4 linked regions of the Stegostoma tigrinum genome follow. Each later gene encodes a partner of the first gene's protein in a complex. Links are inferred from orthologs where the notes say so. Each region holds a gene or a part of one and is shown on either strand. Other genes may lie near its edges. The genes, in order: cript, snrpd1, plrg1 and sf3b5.

Region 1 (7,930 bases):
TACCATAATCGACATACTATATAAATGCATGTTGATAATTTTGGGAGATTGCCTTTGTAAAGAAGTAGGTGTCATAGCAGACTTATATTTTGCAAAGTCTAAAATGACAACTTTGCTTTGTATACGCCATAAACTAAGTAAACTTACCAAGGCGGTTCACAGAATGCATTTGGATAAAAAACTACACTGACCCAAAGAAGATATCAAAAGAAAAGACAAAAAGCTTGGTCAACAGGGTGTTAAGATAGATTTTTAAGAATGAGAGACAAAGACATCTTGGAAAATATTTAAACAGGTTAAAGCCTCAGTGACAAGTGAAAATGCTATTAACAGTAGGAAATGGGAGATCTGCAAGGTCAAAGTTGTACGGGTGCAGCACTATTGGAGCTCAGTAGGTCTAGAGAAGCTGAACACAGATGGTTGAGGCAGAAGCAGAGGCCAATATTACATTGTCCTTATGATGAGCGCATATGATTTCAGAAGCTCATTCAGTCATGTAGAATGCCAAGATACAGTAGTCAGTGACAGGGATAGAATCAGAGGAAAGAAAACCAAATTTATCACACTGGGTCAAAGAAAATGGCTATAGTCTTTTCAAAATTCTAAAAGTGCAGTTTATTTGGGATATTAGATAGGCAGTAAGTAAAATGCTAATTTGGAGGGGGAATGCAGATACAATGGGTTGAATGACCTTTTTCTGCACTGCAATAATTTTATAAATCTGTGAAGCAGTAGTCAAGGTGGTCAAGAGTGATGTAGTGAGATAAAAATGGGTGTCACAATGTATGTGTGGAATTTTACGTTGCACCTTTTGTTATTGGATAAAACATATAATGTGGAAAAACAGATTTTTAACAAATCAAAAGAAAGTGAACAATTTAAGAACGTACATTTCTTAAGTCTCCATTCATTTATGAAATTATTCAACGCTGCATCTACAAATGACTTAAAATCAACAGGTTAGGAGAGTCCAAAACTAGAGGGCATGGGTTTCAGGTGAGAGGGGAAAGATTTAAAAGGGACTTAAGGGCAACATTTTCATGTAGACAGTGGCGCGTGCATGGAATGAGCTACCAGGGGAAGTGGTGGAGGTTGGTATGATTACAACATTTAAAAGGCATCTGGATGGGTATATGAATAGGAGGGGTTTAAATGTCTATGGGCCAAATGCTGGCAAATGGGAATGAATTAATTTAGGATATATGGTCAATATGGACAAGTTTACCCAAAGAGTCTGCTTCCATGCTATACAACTCTGTGACTAGGTTAAAATTTAAAATCCTTTTACCAGTTTTGCAAGTGCACCCCCCCCCCCCACAAAAGTTATATAATTACAAAACTGTTCAAGCCGCAATGCTTCTCAAAATCATAATTTAAGTAAAATATAAAAGTATATTCTAAATAAACTCAGTAGTAATCTAACAGGAGTCCCTTGTTCAATTCTTAGACCAGGCTGTTTGCTAACCTCAGTCAATCTAGTAGTCGGATCACTGCCATTAATCGATAAACAGACAAAATCCAAACTTTTACCCAGAAATCTCTGATGAAAGAACTATTTTTGCACAATGACGATTAAGTTACTATGACGCTAATGACAACAGCAATCAGAAGCTCTCAATGTCCAAGCTTATACATAAACACAGCCAGTCATTTCAGCTACTGGAGCGTTGCATGTACCTGCAGAAACTCACATGTATCTTCCACATTTACAGACACTATCTTTGAAAACTCAGTATTATACCAACCTTGCTTTTTTAGAAGTCAACACCTTGTTTTCATTGATCTTGCGGCCGCCACTTTCTGTTAAAATGCATTACAACTTAAATTAGAATGGCACGCTCCAAATCAGTATAAAAAATTTAAATCCATATGCAACTATGTAGCAACTGAATTTGGTTAGTACCCATCGTGTTCCTTGATCCATCTTTCCAAGTATCTGGTGTAATAACTCTTCCCAACTTCTTTTCACCTACAAGAACAAAACAATAAGCAATAACTTAAATAAACCTAGAGAAAACAATAAAAAAAATTACATTAATTTACCAGGAATTAGATAATACTAAGGATACGAACTTTTGATTACAAAGCTTAAGAGACCTGTACACTCAGATTAGTACCCTTAGAGCAGTCCAGCACCCCTTTAAATACAAGATTCCTAGTTATTCTTTCATCACTGCTTTAATAACAGAAAACACATGAATTAACATAATGGGTAATAAAGTGTGAAGCTGGATGAACACATCAGGCCAAGCAGCATCTCAGCAGCACAAAAGCTGACGTTTCGGGCCTAGACCCTTCATCAGAGATGAAGGGTCTAGGCCCGAAACATCAGCTTTTGTGCTGCTGAGATGCTGCTTGGCCTGCTGTGTTCATCCAGCTCCACACTTTGTTATCTGGGATTCTCCAGCATCTGCAGTTCCCATTACCTCTGATACAATACTAACGTAATGGGGTTGGGGAACCAAAGAGACAATGTCAGAGCTGTTATACGTGATATTTTATGTGTTCCTTTGTTCTGAGGAAGGGCCACTAAACCCAAAACACTAACTCTATTTTTCCCTTCACAGTTGCTGCCTGACCTGCTGAGCTTTTCCAACAGTTTCTGCTGTTGTTCCTGTTTTATGTGATGATGGCGATGGGAGGGACAGAATATTTGAAGGAGAGGGTCAGTGGAGGATGGGGGGGGGCGCTAGGAAAGGGTGGTCAGCAGTTCATTGGGAATAGGGAGAGACGAGGTGGTTCTCCGGATAAGATGAGCCCACAGGGAGGACGGGGGCGAAGGAAACGGAGAGGCAGGCGAGAGAGAGTCTGGGGCTAGGAGCGGGGCCCAGTCTGGAGCGGCCACAGCCTGAGTGAGTGAATGTGAGCGGCCTCACCCCCAACCCTCAGCCAGCCCGAGCCCACACCCAGGTCCCTGTCCCCACTCACATTTCTCACACACCATCCTCCACCGCCACCGGCCCCCACTTCCGGCAACAAACCAGCTCAAGCGGAAGTTGTCTCCCGGGTCTTAGTGCAATTCCAGAGCAGAGACTGAGGTCTGCTGTGGATATGCCTGGGAGCCCAGTAGTAATCATTACAGGAAAATGTTTCATACAAACTAAGTTTATTAACCTGCACCACACTGCTAAGAAACAGAACACGAGAAGTATCCCAGCAAGGTGTTGTACTAAGAAATTCTGGCTGGGTTTAGAAGTTGCTTCTCAGGGTGAAGATCCACCTGGAGGTGTCAGAACTATCTGCTTTGAATGTCTGATCCGGTTTTTGTCCCAATGTGGGTCGCTTATATTTTAAAACATTTTAGAACAAGCTAACGGTTTTTAGGAGCACAGTTACATACGTTTATTTTTAAATTCTGTGTTTGCATTTGAGATGTGACAATTATGCTTCTGGGATCCAGTTCTGAAAATGAAAATGCTTTTAAAGTTTATGAAATTCTGGCCATGGCTAAGGCTTAGAGTCTTAAATTGCCAATTTATTTTTCTTTCCAATGTGCTACATTTCACTCACACCTAAAACTGTGGACAGTATTTATAGAACATAAAACAATACAGCACAGAGCAGACCCTTCAGCCCTTGATGTTGCACTGACCCGTGAACTAATCTAAGCCCCTCCCCTACACTATTCCATCATTATCCATATTGACAAAGTTTTTTTAAAAATCTTTTACCAATTCCAATTTAAAACTAGTTTCCAGACTTTTTTTAAAAAAATTACATGACCCTAATCAATAGTTTACACTGAATTTTTACCTCCAGGGTTAAATGGCCTACTGCTGTGCTGTAAATGTGTATGTGTCTAATGCAATAATTTAACTTCTCTAAAAGCACATTACTGAAGTCATTGAGTTAATAATAACTGGAAACAACAAGCCAGGCAGCATTGGTGGAGAAACTAGAATTCACTCGAAACATGAGATAGCAAGAATTGCAGATGCTGGAGGAACACAGCAAGCCAGACAGCAGAGGAACAGGAAAGTTTTACACTTGAAACATGTCTAACTGTTCTACTTGCCAGCAATGTCACCTGAACAGTATGTCATTTTGTATTTTTATTTCCATTATCCTATGTGCTGACCCTCACCAACTGTGGCAGTGCTGATTCAGGGCTTTAATTGTCTGTGTGCCAGTATGCCCTCAGGTACACCGATCCACAACACAACACAACATCCTCATGATAAAACTAATGCTGGCCTCCAACACATCATAGAATCATACAGTATGGAGGAGGCCTTTCAGCCTATTGTGTCTGCACTAACAAAAATCTATTCTAAATCTACACTAGACTCACTTTTTAAACACTTAGCCCACAACCTTTTTTTAAATGACATTTTGAGTACTTTTTAAAAGATTGTGAATTTCCCCAGCTTAACTACACTCAAGACTTCCACCAATTTTGGTTAAACAAAGTTTCCTCAAATCACCTCCAAACCTCTTGCCATTTCTCTTAAAATTATGTTTTCTTGTTATTGACCTTTCAACTAAAGGGGATAGCTTTTATCATCTTCCTTATCTATAGCCTTCATAATCTTAGACTCCTTATTTCAGGTCCCCTCTGAGCTTTCTGTGCTCTAAACAAAACAACCTGAACATATTCAGCTTTTCTTAATAGCTAAACTACTCCAGCCCTGGCAGCATTGTGGTGAACCTACTTTGTACCACCTCGTCTGCAAGCACATTCTTCCTGGCCTACAACAGAACTTGTTCTGGATAGAACTATCGCAGATACCTGCCATTCTCCCATCAACATAACCTCCCCTGGATACTGACCCCCAATTAAATCTAATCTGGAGAAAACTATCACAGGTACACCCAGTCCTGAAACACAGCTTAATTTTGAATAACACTAGCTGCCCTTCAACACAACCTCCACCAGACAAATCTGGTCCCCAAATGAACACCACCTAAATAAACTACTTCAGCTACCTGCCACCTACCCCCAGAAAGACCTGACCCCAGTCGCTTCCTCCCCTGGATACACCTGGCTCCCAGCTACCTCCAGATAGTAAAATGTGAGGCTGGATGAACACAGCAGGCCAAGCAGCATCTCAGGAGCACAAAAGCTGACGTTTCGGGCCTAGACCCTTCATCAGAGAGGGGGATGGGGAGAGGGAACTGGAATAAATAGGGAGAGGCGCACCAAAGATGGAGAGTAAAGAAGATAGGTGGGGAGGTGGGGAGGTAGGGAGTCGTCCCCTCCCCCCACTGCACCACACAACCAGCCCAGCTCTTCCCCCCCCACCCACTGCATCCCAAAACCAGTCCAACCTGTCTCTGCCTCCCTAACCGGTTCTTCCTCTCACCCATCCCTTCCTCCCACCCCAAGCTGCACCCCCATCTACCTACTAACCTCATCCCACCTCCTTGACCTGTCCGTCTTCCCTGGACTGACCTATCCCCTCCCTACCTCCTCACCTATACTCTCCTCTCCACCTATCTTCTTTACTCTCCATCTTCGGTCCGCCTCCCCCTCTCTCCCTATTTATTCCAGTTCCCTCTCCGATGAAGGGTCTAGGCCCAAAACGTCAGCTTTTGTGCTCCTGAGATGCTGCTTTGCCTGCTGTGTTCATCCAGCCTCACATTTTATTATCTTGGATTCTCCAGCATCTGCAGTTCCCATTATCTCTGATACTATTTTACCTCCAGCCACTCCCTCGTCTGGATACACCTGGCTCCTAGCTACCTGCCACCTGACTCCAGCCACTCCCTCTCCTGGATACACCTAGCAACCAGCTACCTGCCACCTACCCCCAGATAGACCTGACCCCAGCCACTCCCTCCCCTGGATACACCTGGCTCCTAGCTACCTGCCATCTCCCCACAGATATGCTTGACCCTAGCCACTCCCTCTCCTGGATACACCTGGCTCCCAGCTACCTGCCACCTGACCCCAGCCACTCCCTCCCCTGGATATACCTGGCTCCTAGCTACCTGCCCAGTCGATGTAACCATTCCAACGTCGAAACGTTGTATCGCAAACGTCTTACGTAAGAGGTCCCGCCCTCTCGAAATGATTGGCCTAAAATTGCCGAATGGACAGTAGCTGTGGGTCTGATTGGTAGGATGATGTTGCCAGTTTCCAAGATGTTTCCGCCTGTACCGTGTGTGTGTGTGTGTGTGTGTGTGAGAGAGAGAGAGAGAGAGAGTGATGGTGGGTAAGGTTGGGTGTGCAGAGGCCCGACTGGAACCAGGGAAAGGGAGATTTCAGATGCAAAAATACTACAAATTATCACTTGACTGAGAAGGCTAGTGACAGTACAAGACTGATGTGTTACTTTTGGCAGTAGTCGCTAACATTTTGCACAGACGATTCGGTAACAAAGCAAGGAAAAAACATGAAGGATTTTGAGTTAAGAGGCATGTTTTCGGCGCATATTATTCTGGTCCTGTCTATCGTTTTTTCTACCTTGGCCCCTTCTTTATTTTTGGACGAGTTTTCTGTAATTGGAACCCACTTGCAATGGTTGTGTGTTTGCTCTGCCACTGTTGCTGCTGTGACCATTGTTTTGTATTTATTGCTCGCAACGAATCCTACCTCCAACAGGAAGAATTCCTCCAGTGGCACGGTAAGATCGTGAAGGATGTTTCATATTCTTTTGATATTCGGTTTTAATACAAAGTGTGAAATAATTTGTATTTTCATATATTGTTTTCCAGGTCACAAAGATCTTCAAATCCTGTCTGTTGTTCTTTATATCCTGTATAGTATTTCATGGAATTTTAGTTTTATATGGAGCACCACTTCTAGTGTAAGTATACAATTAACTGGAATTTTGTCAAGAGTTTCATTCTGAAAGGGTATTTATGGCTTTTAGTTGAGAAGAAATTGTAGGTGACTGATCTCTTTAACATGCTCAATTTTCCAGGTGATGTTGGAAACTGGTGGATGACTGTTAAGTGTAAATGCAAGGAATGTAGCAACTGTTATATACAGGCATCTTGGACAATTAAGTCAATACGTCTTCTTCCACTCTCCTTCGTCTAATCCTATCAGTACACCACTTGAATCAATACAGTTAAAAGTAGCAAATCACGTCAACAAAGACATTTAAATAAACCAAAATTAAACAATGAAAGCACTGGTGTTCATTTCTGTTGTAGGAATAGAACTTAAAAGCAGACAGAAGTAGTTAAACTTGTACAGAAACTTGGTTAGACATTTATGTTGCAAAAAAAATTGAAACACAGAAGTTGCACAAATGATTCTCACAGATAATACCGGAACTGAGGGATTAAACCTATTAGGAAAAGCTAAATAAGGCTGTGCCATTAACTCAGACAATGTTCACGTGGTAACTTTAGTGATGTCCTTAAAGTTACAAAGATGTTTAATTCAGTGGTTGTAACAAAAATGTTCTTATTTGAGAGACAGTGTAAAACTTGAAGTGATGAATATAAGGTAGCTTCTAATAAATCAAGTAAGGAATTCAGAGTAAATTTCTATAGCCAGAGAGTTGTTTAAATAGGCTATGATGTGGAACATTTGAGATAGACACCTTGAAAGCTTCTAAAAGAAAGCTAGTAAGGGTATATGGAAAAACAAAATAGAAGAGTGTACAGATAGGATTAGATGAAGTAGAGTGCTAAATTTCTGTGCTGTATATCTTATACAGAACGTAATGTACCTTGTGTATTTATTTTTGCATTTGAGAATTTGAGTTTGAAATTTTGATTTCAAGTTGAGAATTGTGCATTTGAGGATCTTAGATGCAAGAGAAGCTAGATGATATATGCAAAACCAGATGAGAAACTACGGTAATGAGAATATAATAGTCCTGGAATAAATTTGCGGCTTTTAAATTGCTTTAAAAGTGTCCTAAGCTGGATATGAAAGAGTTTTTGACATATAATGATGAGAGAAAGCAATGAAAAAGGTGGTGGCATCACTGTTAATTAAGTTGACATAAGTTCAGTACTCAAGGATAAGATT
Region 2 (7,325 bases), on another chromosome or scaffold:
TTTACAACGATGGTATTCGAACCCACATCCTCAGAACGTCAGCTTGAGGTTCTGGATTACTAGTCCAGTGATATTTCCATTATTCCACCACCCCGTCCAATGAATTTAAAGATCCTTGCCGTCTCTTGCGTCATTATGGCAATTCAACTTTCCTTGTATCGGATGATTAAAATGCAAGAAATTAAAATTCAAATTCTACCACTTGTATGCAAAATAGAATTCAACAGATCTGCTAATTTGTGGACTTGCACATTACTTGGGTGGTGGGTCGGGGGGGTGAATATTCTTTATTCCTCCATGTCAATGTCAACCAGTTAAAGATCTAAATTTATGTAGGTTCTTTGTTTCTGCTGCTGGTGCACATCAGCACATTAACCCCCATATCAGCGCAGATCACAAAATTCATTACTTACAACGTATGGATAAAGAGAGAAGGAACACCACATCACAATAACATCAAGACTGAAGATTTAGAATCTGAGAACCAAAACTACATCAACCCAGTACAATACACTGCAGTTCCTTGTTCCGTACTAGAGAAACAACCTGAGGAATGAGAGGCAGGTTTTAGTAAAGCCTTTGAAAAGGTTCCATACTGTAGACTAATTAGTAAAGTTTGATCACATGGGATTCAGGGTGAACTTGTCAAACGGATGCAAGGTTGGCTTAACTGCATAGGCAGAGTATGATGGTGGAAGGTTGTTTCTTGGACTGGAGGCCTGTGACCAGTGCTTCACAAGGATTGGTCCTGGGTCCATTTTTGTCTGTCATTTATATGAATGATTTAGATGAGAATGTAGAAAACATGGTTAGTAAGTTTGTGGATGACACCAAGATTGGTGGTATAGTGGACAGGGAAGGAGGTTATCTAAGGTTACAAAGATGATCAGTTGGGTCAACGGGCTGAAGAGTGGCAGATGGAGTTTAATTTGGAAAAACATGAGGCACTGCAGTCTGATAAAAGAAACAAATGCAAAGACTTATATAATTCAAAGTAGGACCTTGGACAGTGTTGTAGAACAGAAACACCTAGGGATTCAGGTACATAATTCTTTGAAGTTTGCATCACAAATAGATACAGTGGTTAAGAAGGCATCTAACAAGCTTGTCTTCATTGCTCAAGTCTTTGAGAATGAATTTGTGATGTTACACTGAGATTGCAGAGGACATTGGTGAGGTCGCTTCTGGAATACTGTGAACAGTTCTGGTTTCCCTGTTATGAGAAGGATATTATTAACCTGGAGAAACTTCAGAAGAGATTTACCAGGATATTGCTAGAAATGGAGAGCTTGAATTATAAGGAGAGGTTGATAGGCTAGGATATTTTCCACCGGAAAATAAGAGATTAAGAGGTGACCTTACAGAGGTTCATAAAATAATGAAGGGTATAACTAACGTGAATGACATGTGTCTTTTCGCTGGGTGAGAGATTTCAAGGCTAGGGGCACATTTTTAAGGCGATGGGAGAGTGATTTAAAAAAGACAGTGGGAGTGATGGATGTGAGTACAGAAGCAACATTTAAAAGACATTTAGATAAGCACATGAATAAGAAATGTTTGGAGGGATATGGGCCAAGCACAGGCAGGCGGGACTAGTTTAGTTTGGGATTCTGGTCAGAATAGACAGGTTGGGCCGAAGGGTCTGTTTCTGTAATGTATAACTCTAAGACAGGGGTCCGGGACAGAATCAGCATTGGCAGACTTCACAATCCTTTCAAAATCACAATTCATCCAGGAGTTGTAGCCAACCAGACACAGACAGTGAAGAATGTGTGATGGGCAGTGCTTGCTGACCATCCATTTGGCACCACTGAAGTTAGGGAGGCAGCGTTGTCACGGTGACTACTGTATGCTCGGAAGTCGAAACAGGCATCTCTGGCTGACCACTCGCCCTGTCACGGGCATCGTCAGGAAGGGCAGGTGCAAGACTGGGCGCATGTGTGGAGGAAAAGGCCAACAGTCTCACTGAGCTAACAAAGTGTGGGGCTGGATGAACACAGCAGGCCAAGCAGCATCTTAGGAGCACAAATGCTCTCGTCTGCACCTATCTTCTCCTCTATCCATCTTCAGTCTGCCTCCCCTTCTCTCCCTATTTATTCCAGAACCCTCTCCCCACCACCCTCTCTGATGAAGGGTCTAGGCCCGAAACATCAGCTTTTGTGCTCCTAAGATGCTGCTTGGCCTGCTGTGTTCATCCAGCCCCACACTTTGTTATCTCAGATTCTCCAGCATCTGCAGTTCCCATTATCTCTGTCCTCACTGAGCAACTGTCCAACTGTGGGTGAGTGAGACCACAGACAATTCTGGCTAACCACGAGTGTTGTCTGAGAGGAAAGAGGGTAGAATGGTTATTGTGTGGGAGACACTGAACCCTTTGGATGTACAGCAATGGGAATGGGGAAGGGAAGTGGGGGGGTGGGGAAGTGATGCACTCTCAAATCAAACAGTGGGACTTTGTCAAATCAGAGAGATTAGTTTAAGAATGAAAGCGCTGTCCATTTTTAAATGCTTTTTAAACTGGATTACAGACAAAGGGAGAGCTGAGTGAGTCTGATCCATGATCAAGGTGCTCAATCAGAACAGCAGCAGCTCCTTCCACACTGTAAATCCTAGGAGAGGGCAGAGACTGTAGCCTCACCCACCACCTCTCCAGGATCCTAGGCCTCGAAGCCCCGGGCTGGCCCCGTGCCTGCGGCCAGATCTCCCGCAGCCTCACCCCGGCCGGTGCAGCCTGACTAGGCCCCAGGCCTGAGCTGGGCCGCGACTTCTCCATCATCTCCTTCGCACCGAGTCTCTCCCATTCCGTTCCCCTCCCCATACCCTCCGTTTCGGTAGGTATAGGCCCAGGTCCACCCATCCCCGGCCTCCGATGCCTCCTCTTACCGGACCAACTTCATGATGGAGGCAGATTGTTCCCGGGGCCGCGGAATGGAGGCGCCACAACCGGCCCTGCAATAAGCATGCGCGGAAGGCCGGCAGCCGGCTCCTACTACTGAGCGTGCGCAGTGCGCCGGCAGCCGTTTCCTCTAATTGGGCGCCGAGTCGGCCGTTTCCAATTGAGCATGCGCGGAATGCTGGACGATGTGACGGTGCATGCGCAGAAAGCCAGATAATGAAGAACGGCGTTTGCAGGTGCTCCCTACTGCCCCCTTTAATAAAATATGGAAATAACTCCCCGCCCAGAAAAATCAGACCAGACTTTACAGCACAGAGTCTCCCTCCTTCACTCGCTGGAATTCAGAAGAATGGGGGCATTTCATAGAAACACAAAATCCTGCTGGTACTGGACAGGCTAGATGCAGGATGATTATTCCTGACGTTGGGGAGGAGTTCAGAATCAGGGTTCACAGTCTAAGAGTAAGGGGTAAGCCAGTCAGGAATGAGATGAGGAAGAATTTCTTCACTCAAAGTTGTGAACGTGTGTAATTCTCTCCCACAGGAAGCTGTCGGGGTCAGTTCATTAGATATATTCACGAGGGAGGTGGACGTGGCCCTTGCAGTTAAAGGGATCAAGGGGTATGGAGAGAAAGCCAGAGTGGGATACTGAGATGGCGTGGTCATATTGAATAGCAGTGCAGGCTCAAAGGGGCAAATAGAAAACAATCAATCACAGGAGTAGAGGAGATAATGGGAACTGCAGATGCTGGAGAATCCAAGATAATAAAGTGCAAAGCTGGATGAACACAGCAGGCAGAGATGCTGCTTAGCCTGCTGTGTTCATCCAGCTTCACACTTTATAATCACAGGAGTAGGCTATGTTTCTATAAGCAGTGTAAAGTATTTTTATTTTAAATAGCTTCCATTCTTTGAAAACAAAATCAAGAGTAGTCATTTTCAGCCTTTCTTTACTTTTGACATCTTTGGATAAGAAGCTTTGGTCCTGAGCATCATAGACCTTCCACTGAATGTGAACTTGTCATTTCCAATGCCCTTTTGCAACAGTGCAGTTTTCAAATATTCCCTTTCAAACAATTTTCTCAATTCCAATATAGTCAAAACAGCACCAGATTGAGGTCTACAAAATCATAAGGTATTGATTCGGTGGACAGCAAGAAGCTTTTTTCCCCCCCAAAGTGGGGGACTCAATTACTAGGGGTCATGAGTTCAAAGTGAGAGGAGGAAAGTTTAAGGGAGATATGCGTGGAAAGTTCTTTACACAGAGGGTGGTGGGTGCCTGGAACACGTTGCCAGCGGAGGTGGTAGACACAGACATGATAAGTGTCTTTTAAGATGTATCTGGATAGGTAGATGGAGGGGCAGAGAGCAAAGGGATACAGAGCCTTAGAAAACAGATGACAGGTTTAGACAGAGGATCGCAATCGGCGCAGGCTGGGAGGGCCGAATGTGCTGTAATTTCCTTTCTTCTTTGTACTTGCACCGAGTCATGTTTGCTGATACATGCTTTACATTTGGCCTGCAAGATGGGCAACAAAAAAAAGAGATCAACAAGGTTTCCTTGGCTAGCACTTTCCAAGACTTTGGCAGACCAGAGCTCGTCCACCAAGTCTGTTTTATTCTTTTCATGCTTTCTTTTCCCTCTTTCTATTTATCTCCCACCCCGGAGAGCTGGCGAGTTGTCACAGTGTTCGCTCGAGCGCCACCAGCATCAGGGTGAACCCAGCACAGACTTGTGTTTTTTTTTGCTCTCTTTCCCCGCTTTAGAAAGTCTGTAATGCTGAACTTTAACTTTATTTCTTTTTTATTCTAACTTGTATCTCGGCACTTTTGCATCTAAGATGAAAATGGCGACTTTGTACACTTTTCACTGTAATGTATCCCTCTAGTAGAGTTCATTTGACAATAGAACTTGATTCCCAATTCCAAGTGGGCCAACAAGATGTGCTGCAAAAAAAAAGCCAAAGATCCCCAGAGACCACCTTCCAAACTCTCATCCAATAGAAAGACAAGGGCAAAAACAAAAAGTTGCTGGAAAAGCTCAGCAGGTCTGGCAGCATCTGTGAAGGAGCAAACAGAGTTAACGTTTCGGATCCATTGACCCTTCGCTCTGTTTTCTCCTTCACAGATGCTGCCAGACCTGCTGAGTTTTTTCAAAATCTTTGTTTTTGTTCCTGATTTACAGCATCCGCAGTTCTTTTGGTTTTTAGAAGGACAAGGGCAACTGATACATGGGAACAACTTCACCTGCAACTTCAATTCCAAGCCACACAGTTTCAAGCCAAAACATTCTCTATCAACTCAAAGACTTTCTTTCAGAAGTTTCCTATGTAATGACAAAACTTATTACATTTTACTCTCATTTCTCTTTGTGACATGAGTGTAGTATACAAGTGGGGGACTTGACCGGGCAGATACGGATGAACATTCCCTCTTGTGGGAGAATCTAGAACTGGGGTCATAGGTTAAAAATAAGGGGTTTCCCCATTTAAAACAGAAATTGAGATTTTCTTTCCCACAAGGGATTGTGAAGCTTTGGAATTTTCTTCCTGTACAGGCAGTGAAAGCAGTGTGCCACCATGTTGGTATGGACTCGATGGGTCAAATGGGCTGCTTCCACACTGTAGTGATTCAGTGAAAAAACTGGTGTAACAATAGTGTGGGTTCTTAATCTGAAATGTTCCCTGGGAAGCTATGTAGATACACCTAACCTTTTAGGAGGCTATGCTCTGTTTCATTCACAGTACATGGGATAAGACATCACATTCTGCCTAATGTTGGACAGTAATTTAAAATGCAGCCCATCAAAAGTACTTCACCACAGCAGCTAGCACAGTGCTGATCAGGAAAACTGAGAAGTGCAGCTCATTACAGAAGTTATACTCTGCTTCAAGTGAGAGCAATTCATACAGGAATTTAAACCACATAGTTGTAGAGTCAACAGCGGAATGCAGGTGGCAGATCCCCCAGGTTGCAGCAACTCATTAGTAACACAAAATGAAGTATTTCAGATTTCCAGCACCTGCTGGAAGAACTGAAAGATAAGTGAGAAAAACAGAAATATGAGCTATTTTTCTCTCTCCACAGATGTTGCTGAACTTCTCCATAAATTATTTTTTACAATATAGTAATGTTGTTTCAGTTCAATGAATTAGGACTTCTGACTGAGGCTCTTCGACTCAAAATGCTAAATCTATTGCTGTCCTGTCAGATGCTGCCAAAACAGCATTTAGCTGGCTATTCTGAAATTAAGATTTTTAAAATATACAGGACATAGAATGACAGATTTTAAAGAAAGAACTGCAAATAAACAAGAGAACTGAACATTACACCAAGTCTCTTTACTGTCCAAATGTAGCACGCTGAATTCAAGTTAATATTATGAAGAAATAAACAATAAAAATCTTTATTTGTATATCATTTTATTTATTACTCCAAAAGAGGAGGAACATAATACAGAATAGGGCAATGGAATGGATATAGTTGGAAAACTGACAACAGTTTCACTTGTATAAATAGAAGCTGCTCCCAGCCCAGTCCCGTTTGTAAATACCTGAACTAATCTCTTATGACAGCTACTGTAGTTCCAATTCTGAAAGACAATTCTTGATCTCAATCTGCAAAATACACTGATTGAATTGCCCTCTGTATCAGTGATTGCGTGACAATTTAAAGGCATTTTGCAAATTCATTGCTCTGCTCTAGTTTTAATCCCAATTTGTATGTCTCTAATAATGAAACAGACGGTAGCATTCATCCCCATTTGGACAATTTAAAGTGATATTTCAAGGTATTAAAAAATATGAATGGATAAACTAGGCACTATTCAGGGGAATATAGGGTGAATTAGAGTACATTGTTTCCCAAAAGCAACAAAAGCCAGAAAACAATTCCACTGAGTATTTTAACAGTTTGATAACACCCAAGTATAATACTTCAAATGGAAGAGCTGCACAAGCAAATGTAAAAATTAGAAAAAGAACAGGACTTCAAGTATATCATTACACTGTCATTAAATGAAAATAATGCACAACTCAGGAAAATCAAAATATACAGTTAATTCTGTAACATAATACAAATTCCAGGTTTGTCTAAAACTCGCTGTACAGTTTTGCATGTACATCAAAGCTCCCTTACCCCAGGAGTTATTAGGATGCAGACAGATGTCAAAGCGGTTTCAGGTTTAAACACCGGACTGAAAGGACTGAGGGCATGCAGCAAGTTGATTTCCAAACTTCTCTACAAAACTTTGAACTTAACAGCTTAAAATCTGGAAATAATAACTCATTCCACAGATATGTTACTGCTCTGTTACTATTTCATGATATCTATATATAATTATATATACACACGCAGACAAGCTGACTGGAATAGTAATAGGCTTGCTGGATTTGAACCATTACCGTATGTGAAAAGCCCCCACCCCTGCC
Region 3 (7,676 bases), on another chromosome or scaffold:
TGGACATGGAATACAGAGAAGTGGCATGACAATACAGCAGAGTATGGATGCCACATGTATGTAAGTTGATGGGATGCCTGCAGACGATATTGCTGATCCTGGGGAGTCGTGTGGATTTGGACAACAGAGTGAAAGCTGTGCAGGGTCATAGTAAGAATAAACAAGTTATTACAAATAAGAAGTGGTCTCAGCAGACAAGATGAAAATATGGCAATGGGAAATAACACAGGTTGAAGTATTTGGAAGTATTATATGCCAGACATAAAACACTTGAGGCTTTGACACTGGCTGTAATGAAGCTGGGCCCCTTGCATTGTATCTGATGAGATACTCATTCTGTAACCAACTATTACGAGGCAAGCTCAACTAAAGCACTCACCTTTTCTCATCTACTGCAATAGGTTTAGCATGATCGCTAACAAACATGTCGTGGGTTCTTTTCAGGGATCTGAACACCAGTGTGTGTACAGAATGTTTCTGCACCTCCTGCCAAAAAGAAAAAAAACAATTTTGAATTATGTATGAACTTCCAATTCTGTAACAACTAATCAAATAATTAAATTGAACTAAACAATGACATAGTAGGTGGAATTGCTAAACAAAATACACTGATCCTTTCTATATTTCCACATTTCAACATGCCATGTAACCTTAGAAGATATCCTGCAAGGCACTTCAAGAAATGTTTTCATAGGGCCAAGTGAAACAGTATGTCAGCACAATGACATTTACTCTTGGAAACAGAATAAAACACATGAATCGCCATATGACACGTGCAGGGCAGTTTCTAGTGACAGTAGGCCCAAATCACAAAACACTTCCACCTGCCCTTGAAAATGTTTCACAGAGGAAATTGGTATCCACAATTGGTGAGAATGGCAGTCATCCTGGAGACCAGACACCATCAAACCATTACATTCTCACTTTCTGGGATTCTGTTGTTAAAGTTAAGCATGCTGGAGTAGTGTCAAAAATAGCTTTATTCTTCTCCTGATCATCCTGTAGCTAACCTGAAAATGCTCAGTACTATCACTGGAGTGTTCTAGGGCAATTGAAATTCATTCCCCACCACTGACTTTCTTGACTTTAACAAGCACTACATACAATTAAAGCACAGAAACAAAACACATTGCAGCTCATAAGAACACCAGAAGTAGGAGAAGGCCTTATCGCCTCTTGAGCCTGCTACACCATTCAATAAGATTATGGCTGCTCTGATCTGGGCTCATCTCATTTCCCATAACTCTTGACCCCACCATTCTGTAGTTCAAGACTGTATCTCCACCCTGAATACAGTCAATGATTTTGAATCCAGAGTGCTCCTCAGTAGAATATTCGAAAGAGTCACAAACCCCTAGAGATAAAACCTCCTCATCTCTATTTTAAATAGCTGTTGCTTTATTTTGAATATTCAGCACTTTCAAGTTCTCTCATGACAGTAGACTGCAGATGAGTAACAGTGTACAATGCAGGTCAACTGAAGACCTAAAACTTTATTCCACTTCATATGTTGTCTAAAATAATTGTAACTTTGTTTGAAAAGTTTCTAAACTTTTAAGCTTTAACGTATATATCTTCTGTGAAGGAAACTAAAATTCAATGCTCATTTCATGTCACCACCTCGTGTTTTGTGGTAATGACTACACATTTCTTATCAAGCATATAATTTATAGCTATATTTATACCAAGTCTTCTGTCAACTTGTTCACTAAAAGGTTGTTATCCCTAATTATTACATGGGTATATTAAAGTTGTTCAATAATAAAACACCAATTAACAAATTGATGGAATTCACAACTTAAGTTTCAAACATACTGCAGCAAGATCAGAAAAGTTAATTGGAAATGGTACCAATGGAAAGTCTCCCTCATAATGAAAAATTTACATAGTAGGCTAGTAGCATAAATTTTCCAGAATTTTGACAGTTTATCTCAGGATTACACATTTGAATAGTCATGGAGTGAGAAAATTAGAAATTACACAGGAACAGGAAATTCATCTCATATAGATGCCCTTCCATAAAATGAGCAGTTCTGATTGTGCACCCTAATTTCTATTCTAATGTATTTTCCTACATGACTTTGACACTTTCTCACAAGTGCCCATTCCTAATTAACATTTATGGTGCCTACTTTATTGAATACTGTATTACATAATTTTATAAGCCTCCTGTAAGTCATATCTTCCACTCTCCATCATTCCGCACATCTCAAATATGCAAAGTTACCAGCTACTCCGTTTCATCTCTATAAATTCTAAACACTTCATTGACAGTCCACGCGTTCCTCTATATTAACAAAGATAGGTTGGAATGTTTAAGTTTTATCACATATACACGGGCGTACAAAACAAGACTCATTGAGACGAATTCTAATTTGCAACGAGAAACAGATAAATGGGGAGGGGGAGAAAAGAAATCGCAACAGCAAACTTTCCGTAATTATACAACTGATTAAAGCCAAAAGCTGAATAATTTAGAAAGGCATGCAAGATAAGAGGTCACTGCATCTTTATTCCTTTATTGTTTTTGAATGAACAAATGCCAGCTAGTAAGGGACGGTAAGCAAGTTATACTGTACTTAACCAGCATGCATTTTACTTTTACTATAAAATGGGAACTTTGTAGATCACGTCAACTTCCTTTCCTTCAAACAGGAAAAGCTTCCCCAACATCATCCTTTTCTATTTCCTTCGGCACCTGGAGAGGGGTCCACCCTCTTCCTTGCTTTATTGTGCGGGGTAGGCGGCCAGGCCGGAACGCTCAGACCCAGCAACTGGCGGCTCAAAGGCCGACAGCCCGAGAACAGTGACACATCCACACTCCCTCCTACTGAATCCTGAACATAACCCAAAGACGCCCACCTCCACCATAGCTGCAACTCGAACCGCTTTTTAAAAAGCGGGCTCCAGATCCCAAGCAGAAACCGCCGCCCTCCTGAGTGACCGGTCTCCCCAATCGCAACAGCAGCCTTCACTTCCCAACCGGAGACGGACGGATAACAAAGAGAAGCCCTGTCATGCGATTGTCTGTCCGCCAGCGACAGCGCCACTTACTCCGTGCGGCCGTACACCGTATCAACAGCCACGGAGAGTAGGAATTGCCGACGCTGGAGTCTGAGATGACAAGGTGCGGAGCTGGGGGAACACGGCAGGGTAAGCAGTTTCTTCAGAAGGGTCCAAACCCGAAACGTCAGCTTTCCTGGTTCTCTGATGCTGCCTGGCGTGCTATTCCTCCAGCTCCACATCTTGTTATCACCGTATCAACAGTGCTGCAGGCTTTCGGCTGTACCTATTTTCAAATGAGTTCTTAACAGGACTTGCAGCATGCCACAATATGATACTATAGCAGATACATTATTCTGAAGGTTCCAGTGGGCCAGGGATAGTGTCCCCACCTCTCGACTAGAAGGCTAGAGTTCAAATCTCTGACTCCTGAAAAATGGCCACTGTACTCGAAACATTAAGTCTGCTTTCTCTCCACAGATGCTGTTATAAGGTAAGATACAGGAGCAAAATTCGGCGTGAGTCTGCTCCGCCGTTTGATCTGCCCCGACCTGCTGAGTTTCTCCAGTAAGTTTTATTTCAATCCTACTTGCTCCAGATTTGTGTCATAAATGCTGAACAGTTAGACTTTAAAATATTAACAATTTCTCCCACCCCCAACTCTACCCCCCCCCCCCACTCCAAACAATGGTCAGATAGTTAAGAGAGCAAAGCAAACGGGACTTGCACGGAGACCATACAGTATGATCAGTGCAGCGGCCTCTGAATTGTCTGGGAAGTTGAATTTCCCAGGAATAATTGTCTCCCCTTGGAAATGTCAAAAAAAATCTTCCAGACTTGTGAGAGCTCATTTAAGCTTAATATTCACTCAGGAAATGGTAGATTAAAAACCCATGTTAAAGCCTGACTATTAAACTTAGCCCCACAACAACAACACTGCAACCCCTGGCATACCTCACACCCCCACCCCAGCACAGCATCTACCCCAACTACTGAATGCCACTAGGTCTAACACACCCATGTCACACAATGCAACCACACCCCACTCTCTGCCAGACTCGACAGCTCCATGGGAACCAGACCCAACTCTACATCCCGTCCTGAACCGGTCCAACTCTTAACAGCTCTGGCTCCACCCTGTGACCCAACCCTGATGGACCTGACCCTATATTCTCTTGACACAACCTGGGCCTGACCTCTAGCCCACCTGAAATATCTCAACTCCTGCTGGACCTGACTCAGTTTTAACTTCCGAGTAACCATTTAACAGACCCCTTTCTTACGTACACATCTCTGAAGGCACTTTTACCAGACATCTTACACCTGTCACCTGCCCCAGGACCTGTACGCTTTTCTTCAGATCCAAACCTGACCTCCTTCCTGCACCAGAGACCTGACCTGACACCTCATCACCTGTCAGCTGACATGCTCTCCCTTCCTTTCTGCCAGACCGGACAAAATCTGAGCCCCATGCCACAACAACCCCCTCATGCTCTGAAACTGGACCCACACAAACACACCACCTACCTCCTGACTCACTTCCTTCCCATCTGCTACTGCAGCAGACCTGACCCCCCAACAGTTGGACCTGACCCATTAACCTCCTGTGCTAGAGCTGACCAAAACATGTTTGCTTGCTTGAATTGATGGTAACTGCCAACATAGAGAGTGTGAGCCTAAAAGTCTGCTTCCATATTATACTTTATATGTATTTCTATCCCATTTCTAGCGTCAACCCTATTTTGTTATTCTCTATTTCGTGGAGAATCCTAATGTTAGTGCTTCCTGAATGTTCCTCTCTGTTAATGATAGACTCCAAAGACAATCCTACTTTCCAATATCCAGTCTATATCAATTCAAGGACTTATTTCAGTTTCCAATTGCACTTATTGTGCCTGAGCTACTGAAACATCACTCTCATTATCCAAGGCCAAGGGCTTGGTTTTGCTCTGTTGGCTGGTCTGTGACCTGGCGATGCGTTTCAATTACCACAATAGCTGAGGCTACTATGAAATATTCTTCTTCCCAACCTCTCCCCACACCTGAGATGTGGTGACCCTCCACTAGTTGTTTCTGCCCAGGAGCACAGCAACTTTTACCTTTAATGCAAGGTTAATGCAACAAATATTCAAATGTTTCATCTTAGTGATGATATATGATCATAAAGTACACAAACTCATGGGTGTAAGACTTCAGAGACTGGCAAGAAATTAGGCTCTGCTGGTTGTGGAGAAAGGGCAGGGAATGGTTCTCAAAGAAAATTAGCCTTTCAAGGCTCAATCAGCATGGAGGAGGAATGGCAGATCGACTTTAAGTCAAGATTAAATCAAGAGTACTTTTCTAATTTATTACCTAGCAGAATTTCAAGAGCTCTCACATTATTTACATCGTGGTTTAACATTTATCATTTTTAATTTTGTTGCTTCAGCTACTTAGAGTGCAAAATGTAATCATAAAGGAGGCTAATGAGCTCATTACATGTTTGTCAGCTCTTTTGAAAGAATTATCGAAGTAATGCCACAATCACATTCTTTCCCAAAATCATAGCAATTTTATTCAAGTATTTATTCAATCATTGGCGCATCAAGTATATCATCCCTTTTCAGTGCTAAACAGTGTCTTTGATCAAAACTGCCACCTCTTCCTTTCTTTTGAAATACCAATAAAAAGAACATAATCAGTCTAATATTTCCTGTAAAATATCTTTATTGATCAGTAAAAGGCATGCATTCTTTCTTCAAGCAACGAACAAATTGAGAAGATCATTCATAACAGCTGGGAATCAGACTGAAGATGGTTTCCGTTCCCTATTGATTTGCTGCAAAAGAAAACAAATGCTCTGAGTTTTCAGACAGATTGTACTGCATCTACCAAGAGCAGTAAAAGTTGCTGCCTCAACAATGTAGGAAACAACTTCACCCTTAACCAATGTCAAGGAAATAGTTATCTGGTTATTTGTCTCACTGTTTGGGACATCTTGAGGTCACCAGAGATGCTTTATAGATGCATTTTATCTTAGCTCTTCTACAAGAGTGAAACTAATACAGTCAGCATTATACTATAGATCAAAGAGGTTTCCTCCCCTTATGTTTTCAGTTACCTTCTCTTCAAGTGCTGCTTACAATCAAAACTATAGCAGTCCATTTATTCCTGTGTTCCAATCAATTTTAATTTATTGCCTCACCAAATGTTGAGAAAGCTAAGTATTTAGAATAGTGTGTCACTGGAACGTTTTTGTAAACAAAATTCTCTTATGCTGTTAGTTATATAGTGTTTCAATTGCCTTTACCATATATCCCCATCCATATTTCTTTAACTAGGAGTGCATTTACAGCGAGTCAAAGTTTAATCTCAAGTCCTCCTGTAATGTGCAATCCTGATGGTTCTTCAGGAACTACATAATGAAAATAAAAGGAGGAGGCTGTTACTTCAGACTCCCTGGGTATCTTTTGGTTTCAGCATCTAATTCTCATCCATATGCTGTCCTTCAGTAGCATCACTCAAAGACAAACCATCAGGTTCTAAGTAAACATGAATGACCCCTAATTCTGCATCTCTACCAATTCTGTCAAACCCTCCACCTCCTCTATGTTGTCATAATGTCTGTATAACATGCAGTTTCAAATGAGTTTTGATTCATTGTAGAAAACACCACTAAGACTGAAGTCATTGTTTTCAGCCTTTAACATAACCTCTATTCCACCATTTTCAATTTCAATTCACTCCAGACCACTCTTTCAGGCTGAAAGAGATTGTATCAAACCTCTATGATCTACTGGATGCACGTGAACCTCCACCTTTATCCTTTCTAACACAAAACCAGCTATTCTCACCACTTTAACTTCACCACGTGTCCCTGCCTTCAAACCCCTACAGCTAAAACACTCACCATACCTTTATTACATCCTACTCCAGTGCTCTTCTGGCCAGCCACCCACTGACCACTCTCTCCAAACGTGAGCTCATCCCAAACTATTCTGCAGTCATACTAATGCATAGCAAATGGGCTCAACAGCAGGGCTAGAAAGAGAAATCCTGGTCCTGCTTCTGTTTCTAGGCCCCACACCAACATGAACTTTTCCTTTCATATCCTTTTTTAAGGGCTACATTTTGACTTTCAGAGATTACATTTTGTTTACAGAGAATATTTTTCATTCTCGCTAACTCATTTATTAAGTGATGCAGTCATGTAGTAACGATTCCTTCTATGTATATATATGTTGAAATTTGCATATTTAGATACACATTGAAGCATTCTTAGAAGAATTCATAAATCTACCCAATCAACCATCTATTAAACTCAAAGCTGTAATACACAAACATCAATTTCTTAGACACCAGAACAATTAAATTGAAAAGGAAAATAGGTACAAATTAGCAATGAAACTTATTTCAAAAAATGGCTAACATCGGGCAGCACGGTGGCTCAGTGGTTAGCACTGCTGCCTCACAGCGCCAGGGACCCGGGTTCGATTCTAGTCTTGGGAAACTGTCTGTAACAAGTTTGCACATTCTCCCCATGTCTGCGTGGGTTTCCTCTGGGTGCTCCAGTTTCCTCCCACAGTCCAAACATGTGCAGGCTAGGTGGATTGGCCTTGCTAAATTGCCCACAGGGTTCAGGGATGTGTAGATTAGGTGGGTTATAGGGAAATGGGCCTGAGTGGGATGCTCAG
Region 4 (7,088 bases), about 26 Mb from region 1:
CTCTGCCTCAGAAGGTGAAGTAGGTTAGGGCTATTGAATGTTTTTAAGGCATTTTAGATTTATGTTCGGCAAGAAGGCTAAGGTAATTGGGATATTGAGAATGTAAATGAATGTGTGCAAGAATGGAACAGCTCAACCATGATTTTTTGAACAGCAGAGCACATTTTGAAGGGCCAAATGGCTTATTTCTGCTTCTAATCCATATACATATTTAAAACATACACAATAAGGACAAAAGATTGTGTTCTGTAAATTCGGTGCTCTTTGACCGTGACCATCTATTTACCTAGTTATCTCACATTTCAGAGGAACAAAAAATCAAAACAACTAAAGTATTAAAAAAAACTGTCCATTTATTGAGCCACAGATCAGTGTAATGGTATACATTTAAAGCAAAATATTTTGTTTCTCCAGTTTAAACCAAATTGTTTACGAATTACAGTTTGTACTGCCCAGCAAAAACAGAACAGGAATAAACTGGCAACACAAAAAAGGTACAAAACCTTCCCTTCTGAATAATGAGACATTTTCTAAGTGACCTAGTCATGGTTGAGCAGGTTTCTGATTTTGCTGAACAATCGCTGCTAAAACATTACTCCATTCACTCGCAAAAATCCCCTGGAACATTATCCAATAAATCACCAAGTTTTAGGAAAATCACTTGATGGGTTTCTCTTTATTTCCAAAATTTCAATCCTTCTAAAATCAGTAACATTCTAAGTAAATTCCCCTTAAATAAAAAATATAAAGCTGCCATGCTTTTATCATGCATGGGTTTCAAGGAATCTTTCTACTTTGTTGACAACCACTTATCCAAACACTTGCCAACATAATGGCTTTTTCTATAGTTCAGTTGTTGGGGAGAGGTTATCAACGCTCTCTGTAGATTCATATAGTTTTACTCCGTACGGCACCCCATATACCATTTACGATGCAATTCATTCTTGGGAGTTTTTCCGTGCAGCAACCATCCGTGTGAACATTGGGTACTTCTGTAATCCTTCTTTAAGATCTATGTGACAGTAGTGGGCTTCGGTTTCAATATCAGCAGCAACCTCCTAGGTGAAGTCAAGCAGGGAGCTCCTCACTGATGGAGGTGTATGGAGACCATTCCATTTAACTGGGGAAGAAAGCAGATAGTCTTTGTAAGATTCCTTTCCTCGGTTGCTCAAGATTATGTTGCCAAAGTGAGTGCAAATCACAAGTAATTCACTGGATGGGTGTTCAGAACATCTTGAAACAGTGAAATTTCCCTTCTGTTGACAGTGACAAAGTTTCACTTGTGAGAGCAAGTCAGATGGACTGGCCATTTTTACAGTAGACTTTTTGTGGCCAGTGACCATTTTATCTATAAAGTAGTTCAGTTCAACAAAAAAGTCATTTGCTTTTGTAAAGCAAGATGATATTTCAGATGAATAACAAAAGTTTAAATCAAATGCATGTCCTTGTGCTGGCAGAGCCCCCAAGAGAAGTGTGGACTCCCTTGCTGCTGGAGCAAGATGGGTGGTGGATTCCTTTGCTGATTGTAGAGCGGAAGAGGGTGGCTGAAAAACGACCTGACTGGCTGGGGAAGGCAAAGGTGGATCCACTTAGAGGGGGCCAGGTACAGTTCTTCAAGTCATATTGGATTTAAAATATTAGCTGTTTCTCTCCCCTTAAATATGGCCAGATCTGCTGAGTTTCTCCAGCATTTTCAGTTTTAGTTTCAGATTTCCAGCATCCCACAGTATTTTGCTTTCATTTGTGTACAGGAATGATGCCATTTTGGAAGCGGATTGGATCAATCCCTCAGTCATTGACAACGACTTTGGATGTGCTGATGGCAAATGGGAGGGCCAAAATTCAAGTCCAAGTTTTGGAGGGAAAATGGAGCACAAATAACATTTGTACCCTAAACTCTCATCACTCCTCTTCAATAGCCATAGAACAGCTCATCCTCATAACCCAGCCTTCACAGGTATGCACTTCTGATCCAACCATCCAAGTCTCTTTTGTACTTCACCTATATCTCCCTTCAATCACCAATAGGCCACTTACTTCACCCAAATCCCTCCTGTTACCCAACTGTCCAGCCACAGCCCAACCTCTAAACATCTCACACTCCCCCAGCCTACACCTGTAACCATCCCATTTATGGTATCTTTCTTATCCTCCAACTGTATACCCCATACATGGTCTTCTTCCTCCAACAATATCCACCACATACCTCCACACATATTGCAATCACACTCCCCATATTCCCTCCTTATCCTCCACCCATGTCCCTGCACCTAATTACACTCATTACCATATCTATACCCCAAAAATCCACCAGACATCAATACTTATAGCTCCCAAATCCTCATTCCTCCCCACATACTCACTTGTATCTTCCCAATTCCCACTATATCCCCTTCACCCAACCACACTTATACCACACTCCACTCCCTTCACCCAGTCATACCTATACTCCTCCCATCCCCATTCCCACCCCATCCCATCCTTCACCTATCCACAGCCATGCCCCCCAATCCCCTTCACCTATCCACAACCCTACCCCACATCTCGTATCTCCATATCTAATCCTCACCCTTCGCCCACACCGCACCCCAGCAACCCCCCCCCCCCCCCCCCCCCCAAGGCCCTCTTAGGCCTCCTCGGGCTTGTCGGGCGGGGGCCCACACGGCTGTAGCATCTTCTCCATGAGGTTGAAGCGGACTCGGGCCTTGGTCTCGTTCTCGGCCACGGCGAAGTAGTTGAGGAGGTCGAAGTGGCCCATGTACGAGGCGTACGAGTCGCGGTGCTGGTTGACGAGCCACTCCCACTTGGTGGTGTCGGCGTGCCCGGTGCCGATGTACTTGGACTGGAGATGTTCCAACTGGCTGTGGATGTTGTAACGGTCCGTCATCGCGGCTCCGGCTCTCCGCTTGAAAAAAGATTCGAATCCCAACCGTCAACCGCCCGCCGGAGGAAACCTAACATGGCCGCCGTTACCAGGGTTACCGCCACGTGGCTTTCCGGGAAGCTGCAGGTACAATTAAATGAAAGTAACCGTTCGGGACGAAATTGTGATTTTGTCTCATGTGAAGAGAAATCTTGGTAAATTAGGGCTATTAAAAATGTTTACACGATGTTGCGCAATCGCCTGCGTTGGAGCTCCGCCCCCTACCAGGCGACCTTTACAGTTATTTTTTGGAATAAAAAAACAACGCTTACCGAAGAAATACTGACAATCGTATGCTTGGTTCTGACATAAAACAATCGGTTCTTTAACAAATCGGCGTTATTAAATTGATAGACATTGACGCGCAGGCGCATTGGATGCCGGGTTTGAGGCCCCACTGATGCTTTTAGCACCACCAGGTGCCCCCTAGATCGGAGGACCGCTGCTATGTGGTATTGCACTCTCAATTTATTGCATTGCAGCGACTAATTTTGGTCCATCGCCAGATACATGGAGTAACAATAATAAATAAAATAAAATTTCAGTTAGTGATTTTTATAGAATCCATAAAGTACAGAAAGAGGCCATTCGGCCTATCGAGTCCATAAGACTATAAGACATAGGAGTGGAAGTAAGGCCGTTCGGCCCATCAAGTCCACTCCGCCATTGAAATCATGGCTGATGGGCATTTCAACTCCACTTTCCTGCACTCTACCCATAGCCCTTGATTCCTTGTGAGATCAAGAATCTGTCGATCTCTGCCTTGAAGGCATCCAACGTCCTGTCACCACGGACCCTCTTAAGAGCACCCCGCCCAAACCCATCCCCTTACCCTATCCCTATAAACACGCATTTTCCATGTCTAATCCATCTAGCCTTCAACATCCCTGGACACTATGGACAATTTAGCAAGGCCAATTTATCTAACCTGCTCATCTTTGGACTGTGGGACGAAACCGGACCACCTGGAGGAAACCTACGTAGACATAGGGAGAATGTGCAGACTCAACACTGCGATGTCCCTGGTACTGAGAAGCAGCAATGCCAACCATTGTGCCACCCTTGATCAGTATCATGAATAGGCGTACCTACATTGGTGCAATAAAGAACTGCCACTCGTTTGCAATAAAAATCAAACCATCTTCAGCCACTTCATCAATGACCTTACCTCCATCATAAGGTTAGAACTGGGAATGATTGCACAATGTTCAGCACTGTTCACAACTCCTCACTTCTAAGCAGTCGGTGTTCAAATGAAACAAGATCTGAACAGTATTCAGGTGTGATCTGACTAGATCTAGATAAAATCTTCAAAACGCCATCAAGGATGCCAAGAGACAACACCCGAACTAAACCAGAGGTCCCAGATTAACCACAGAAACACATGTTGAATTTGGCAAGACTTACATGATTTAAGGGGCGACAAAGCAAAGTTGAGTACAATTTCTGAAAGCAATACATTTCTCCCCAGTGAGCTCATTTTAAACAACAGGTTAGTGAAATGATGTCATCTGTCCCGACGATCTCGGGATCACCTGTACTCACAGTCACCACTGCAGATGTCAGATCAGTGGCAAATTTGAGGTGATGCGTTTTGGAAGATCTAATTCAAGAGCGAACTATACAGTAAATGGAAAAGTCCTGGGGAAAATTGATGCACAGAGAGATCTGGGTGCTCAGGTCCATTGTTCCCTGAAGGTGGCAACGCAGGTCAATAGGGTGGTCAAGAAGGCATATGGCATGCTTTCCTTCATCGGACGGGGTATTGAGTACAAGAGTTGGCAGGTCATGTTACAGTTGTATAAGACTTTGGTTTGGCCATATTTAGAGTACGGTGTACAGTTCTGGTTGCCACATTACCAAAAGGATGTGGATGCTTTGGAAAGGGTGCAGAGGTGGTTCACCAGGATGTTGCCTGGTATGGAGGGTGCTAACGATGAAGAGAGGTTGAGTAGGTTAGGATTATTTTCATTAGAAAGATGGAGATTGAGGGGGGACCTAATTGAGGTCTACAAAATCATGAGGGGTATAGACAGGGTGGATAGCAAGCAGCTTTTTCCCAGAGTGGGGGATTCAATTACTAGGGGTCATGAGTTCAAAGTGAGAGGAGGAAAGTTTAAGGGAGATATGCGTGGAAAGTTCTTTACACAGAGGGTGGTGGGTGCCTGGAACGTGTTGCCAGCGGAGGTGGTAGACGCAGACACGTTAGCATCTTTTAAGATGTATCTGGACAGGTACATGGATGGGCAGGGAGCAAATGGACACAGACCCTTAGAAAATAGACGACAGGTTTAGACAGAGGATCTTGATCAGCGCTGGCTTGGAGGGCCGAAGGGCCTGTTCCTGTGCTGTCGGTTTCTTTGTTCTTTGTTCTTTGTGTCCTTGAGAGTTACCCCCTCAGAAAATGACTGGTGCATATGGGGTCCCTGATTGTGAACTGAGATCCTGCACAGACCAGCTGGTGGGATTATTTGCAGACGTCTTAACCTCTCCTTACTATGATGTGAGTTCCCACCTTCTTCAGGAAGATGACCATCATCCTGGTGCCAAAGAAGAATCAGGTCATGTGCTTTAATGACTGCTGCACTGATTCTGACATCCATCATCATGAAGTGCTTTGAGAAGTTAGTAATGGCTCACATCAACTTCAGCCTCCCAGATTGCCTTGGCTCACAACAGTTTGCCGACTGTCACAGAAGGTCCATGGCAGACACCATCTCCCTGGCCCTACATTCAGCCCTGGAGCATTTAGATAATAAAGACACCTACATCAGTCTCCTGTTAATTGACTTTAGCTATGCCTTCAATACCATAATTCCAACAAAACTCATCTCCAAGCTCCAAGATCTAGGAGTCTGCTCTCCCTTCTGTACCTGAATCCCTGACTTCCTGACCTGCAGACTGCAATCAGTGAGGATAGGTGACAACCCCTCCACAATAATCCTCTATAGTGGGTTGGACCTCACACAACAATGAGACAGAGTACAGGAAGGAAATAGGCAGTTTAGTGGCATGGTGTGGAGACCACAATCTCTCCCCCAATAACAGCAAAATGAAAGAGCTGGTCTTCGACTTCAGGAAGCAGAGTGGAGGGCAGGCAACTGTCTGTATCGATGGCGTTGATGTGGAGGTGGTCGAGAAGGTCAAGTTCTAAGAGTAAATATCACCAATGATCAATCCTCATCCATCCATGTTGATGCTGGCCAAACAAGCAGACCAACACCTCTGTTGCTTCAGAAGGCTAATGAAATTCAGCATGTCCACAATGACTCTTACCAATTTTTATAGAAGTACCATAGAATGCATCCCAACCAGAAGCGGCAGAGCTTGGTATGGCAACTGCTCTGCCTAAGCCTGAAAGAAATTATAGAGAGTTGTGAGAGTCAAAGTCGTGGTTCTCCTTGTCCATCTTTGACTGGGACAACACCAAGATGCTGGGACAGGTTCAGCAGAGTCAAGCACGAAAATTCCTGGAAGCCTGGCACTCCATGGCACTCCACATTGAACTTGACCCCATATACATTCTACTGCGGAGGAAACCCGGAAGTGAGGCAGTTCATCGCAACGGAACCCAGAGTTTAAAAGCCAGGCGGGAAAACACACACTGATGCTTCATCAGAGGCTGCACTGAGGATGTTACCCAGCACGGTAACGAAACATCTGCAGAACAACAAACCAGCTCAGCGAGCCAACCAACCTCAACACCCACAACCCGAGCTACAAATCTACTCCAAAACCTTAGATTCTGGTGTTATCATTGACCAGAAACTGAATTGGACTCACAACATAAACATAGTGTCTACAAAGGCAGGGCAGACACTTGGAACACTGCAGCCATAACTCATCTCCCTAAAGTCTATCCACCAGCTACAAGGTACAAGTCAGGAATATGCTGGAATACTCCCCACTTGGCTGGATGGGTGCAGTTCCAACAACACTGTCTGGTGAGTGACACCCACATCCCATGATTGAATGGAGAAAACGCACCCATTAGACCTCACCTGGGGTATTTGTCAAATTGGCACTGTCCTGCAGAAGCCGGTGTAGAATCATAGAATCTCTACAGTGCAGATCGAAGCCATTTGGCCCATCGAGTCTGCACAGACCCTATGAAGGGCACCAGGTGGTTATTTGGATATAAATAGTATGGGCCTATGGGAAAAAG

What was found.
Region 2: cript (region 1) and snrpd1 share a complex: the UniProt entries of both Homo sapiens proteins name them as parts of the minor spliceosome. The link is inferred for Stegostoma tigrinum from reciprocal best matches to the Homo sapiens genes CRIPT and SNRPD1.
Region 3: cript (region 1) and plrg1 share a complex: the UniProt entries of both Homo sapiens proteins name them as parts of the minor spliceosome. The link is inferred for Stegostoma tigrinum from reciprocal best matches to the Homo sapiens genes CRIPT and PLRG1.
Region 4: cript (region 1) and sf3b5 share a complex: the UniProt entries of both Homo sapiens proteins name them as parts of the minor spliceosome. The link is inferred for Stegostoma tigrinum from reciprocal best matches to the Homo sapiens genes CRIPT and SF3B5.

What each region holds. Positions count from the first base shown.
Region 1 is NC_081362.1:68,477,499-68,485,428, forward strand, and holds the start of cript (cysteine-rich PDZ-binding protein), read right to left. Parts: upstream 3,021-7,930; 5' UTR 2,945-3,020; coding exon 2,929-2,944; intron 1,970-2,928; coding exon 1,904-1,969; intron 1,801-1,903; coding exon 1,746-1,800; intron 1-1,745. Other genes in the region: pigf (phosphatidylinositol-glycan biosynthesis class F protein), read left to right, coding at 6,336-6,566, 6,658-6,749. UniProt on the Homo sapiens protein: As a component of the minor spliceosome, involved in the splicing of U12-type introns in pre-mRNAs. Involved in the cytoskeletal anchoring of DLG4 in excitatory synapses.
Region 2 is NC_081355.1:7,631,909-7,639,233, forward strand, and holds the start of snrpd1 (small nuclear ribonucleoprotein Sm D1), read right to left. Parts: upstream 3,019-7,325; 5' UTR 2,898-3,018; coding exon 2,884-2,897; intron 1-2,883. UniProt on the Homo sapiens protein: Plays a role in pre-mRNA splicing as a core component of the spliceosomal U1, U2, U4 and U5 small nuclear ribonucleoproteins (snRNPs), the building blocks of the spliceosome.
Region 3 is NC_081354.1:53,942,223-53,949,898, forward strand, and holds the start of plrg1 (pleiotropic regulator 1), read right to left. Parts: upstream 3,009-7,676; 5' UTR 2,872-3,008; coding exon 2,863-2,871; intron 487-2,862; coding exon 380-486; intron 1-379. UniProt on the Homo sapiens protein: Involved in pre-mRNA splicing as component of the spliceosome. Component of the PRP19-CDC5L complex that forms an integral part of the spliceosome and is required for activating pre-mRNA splicing.
Region 4 is NC_081362.1:94,718,317-94,725,404, reverse strand, and holds sf3b5 (splicing factor 3B subunit 5), read right to left. Parts: upstream 3,005-7,088; 5' UTR 2,888-3,004; coding exon 2,627-2,887; 3' UTR 336-2,626; downstream 1-335. UniProt on the Homo sapiens protein: Component of the 17S U2 SnRNP complex of the spliceosome, a large ribonucleoprotein complex that removes introns from transcribed pre-mRNAs.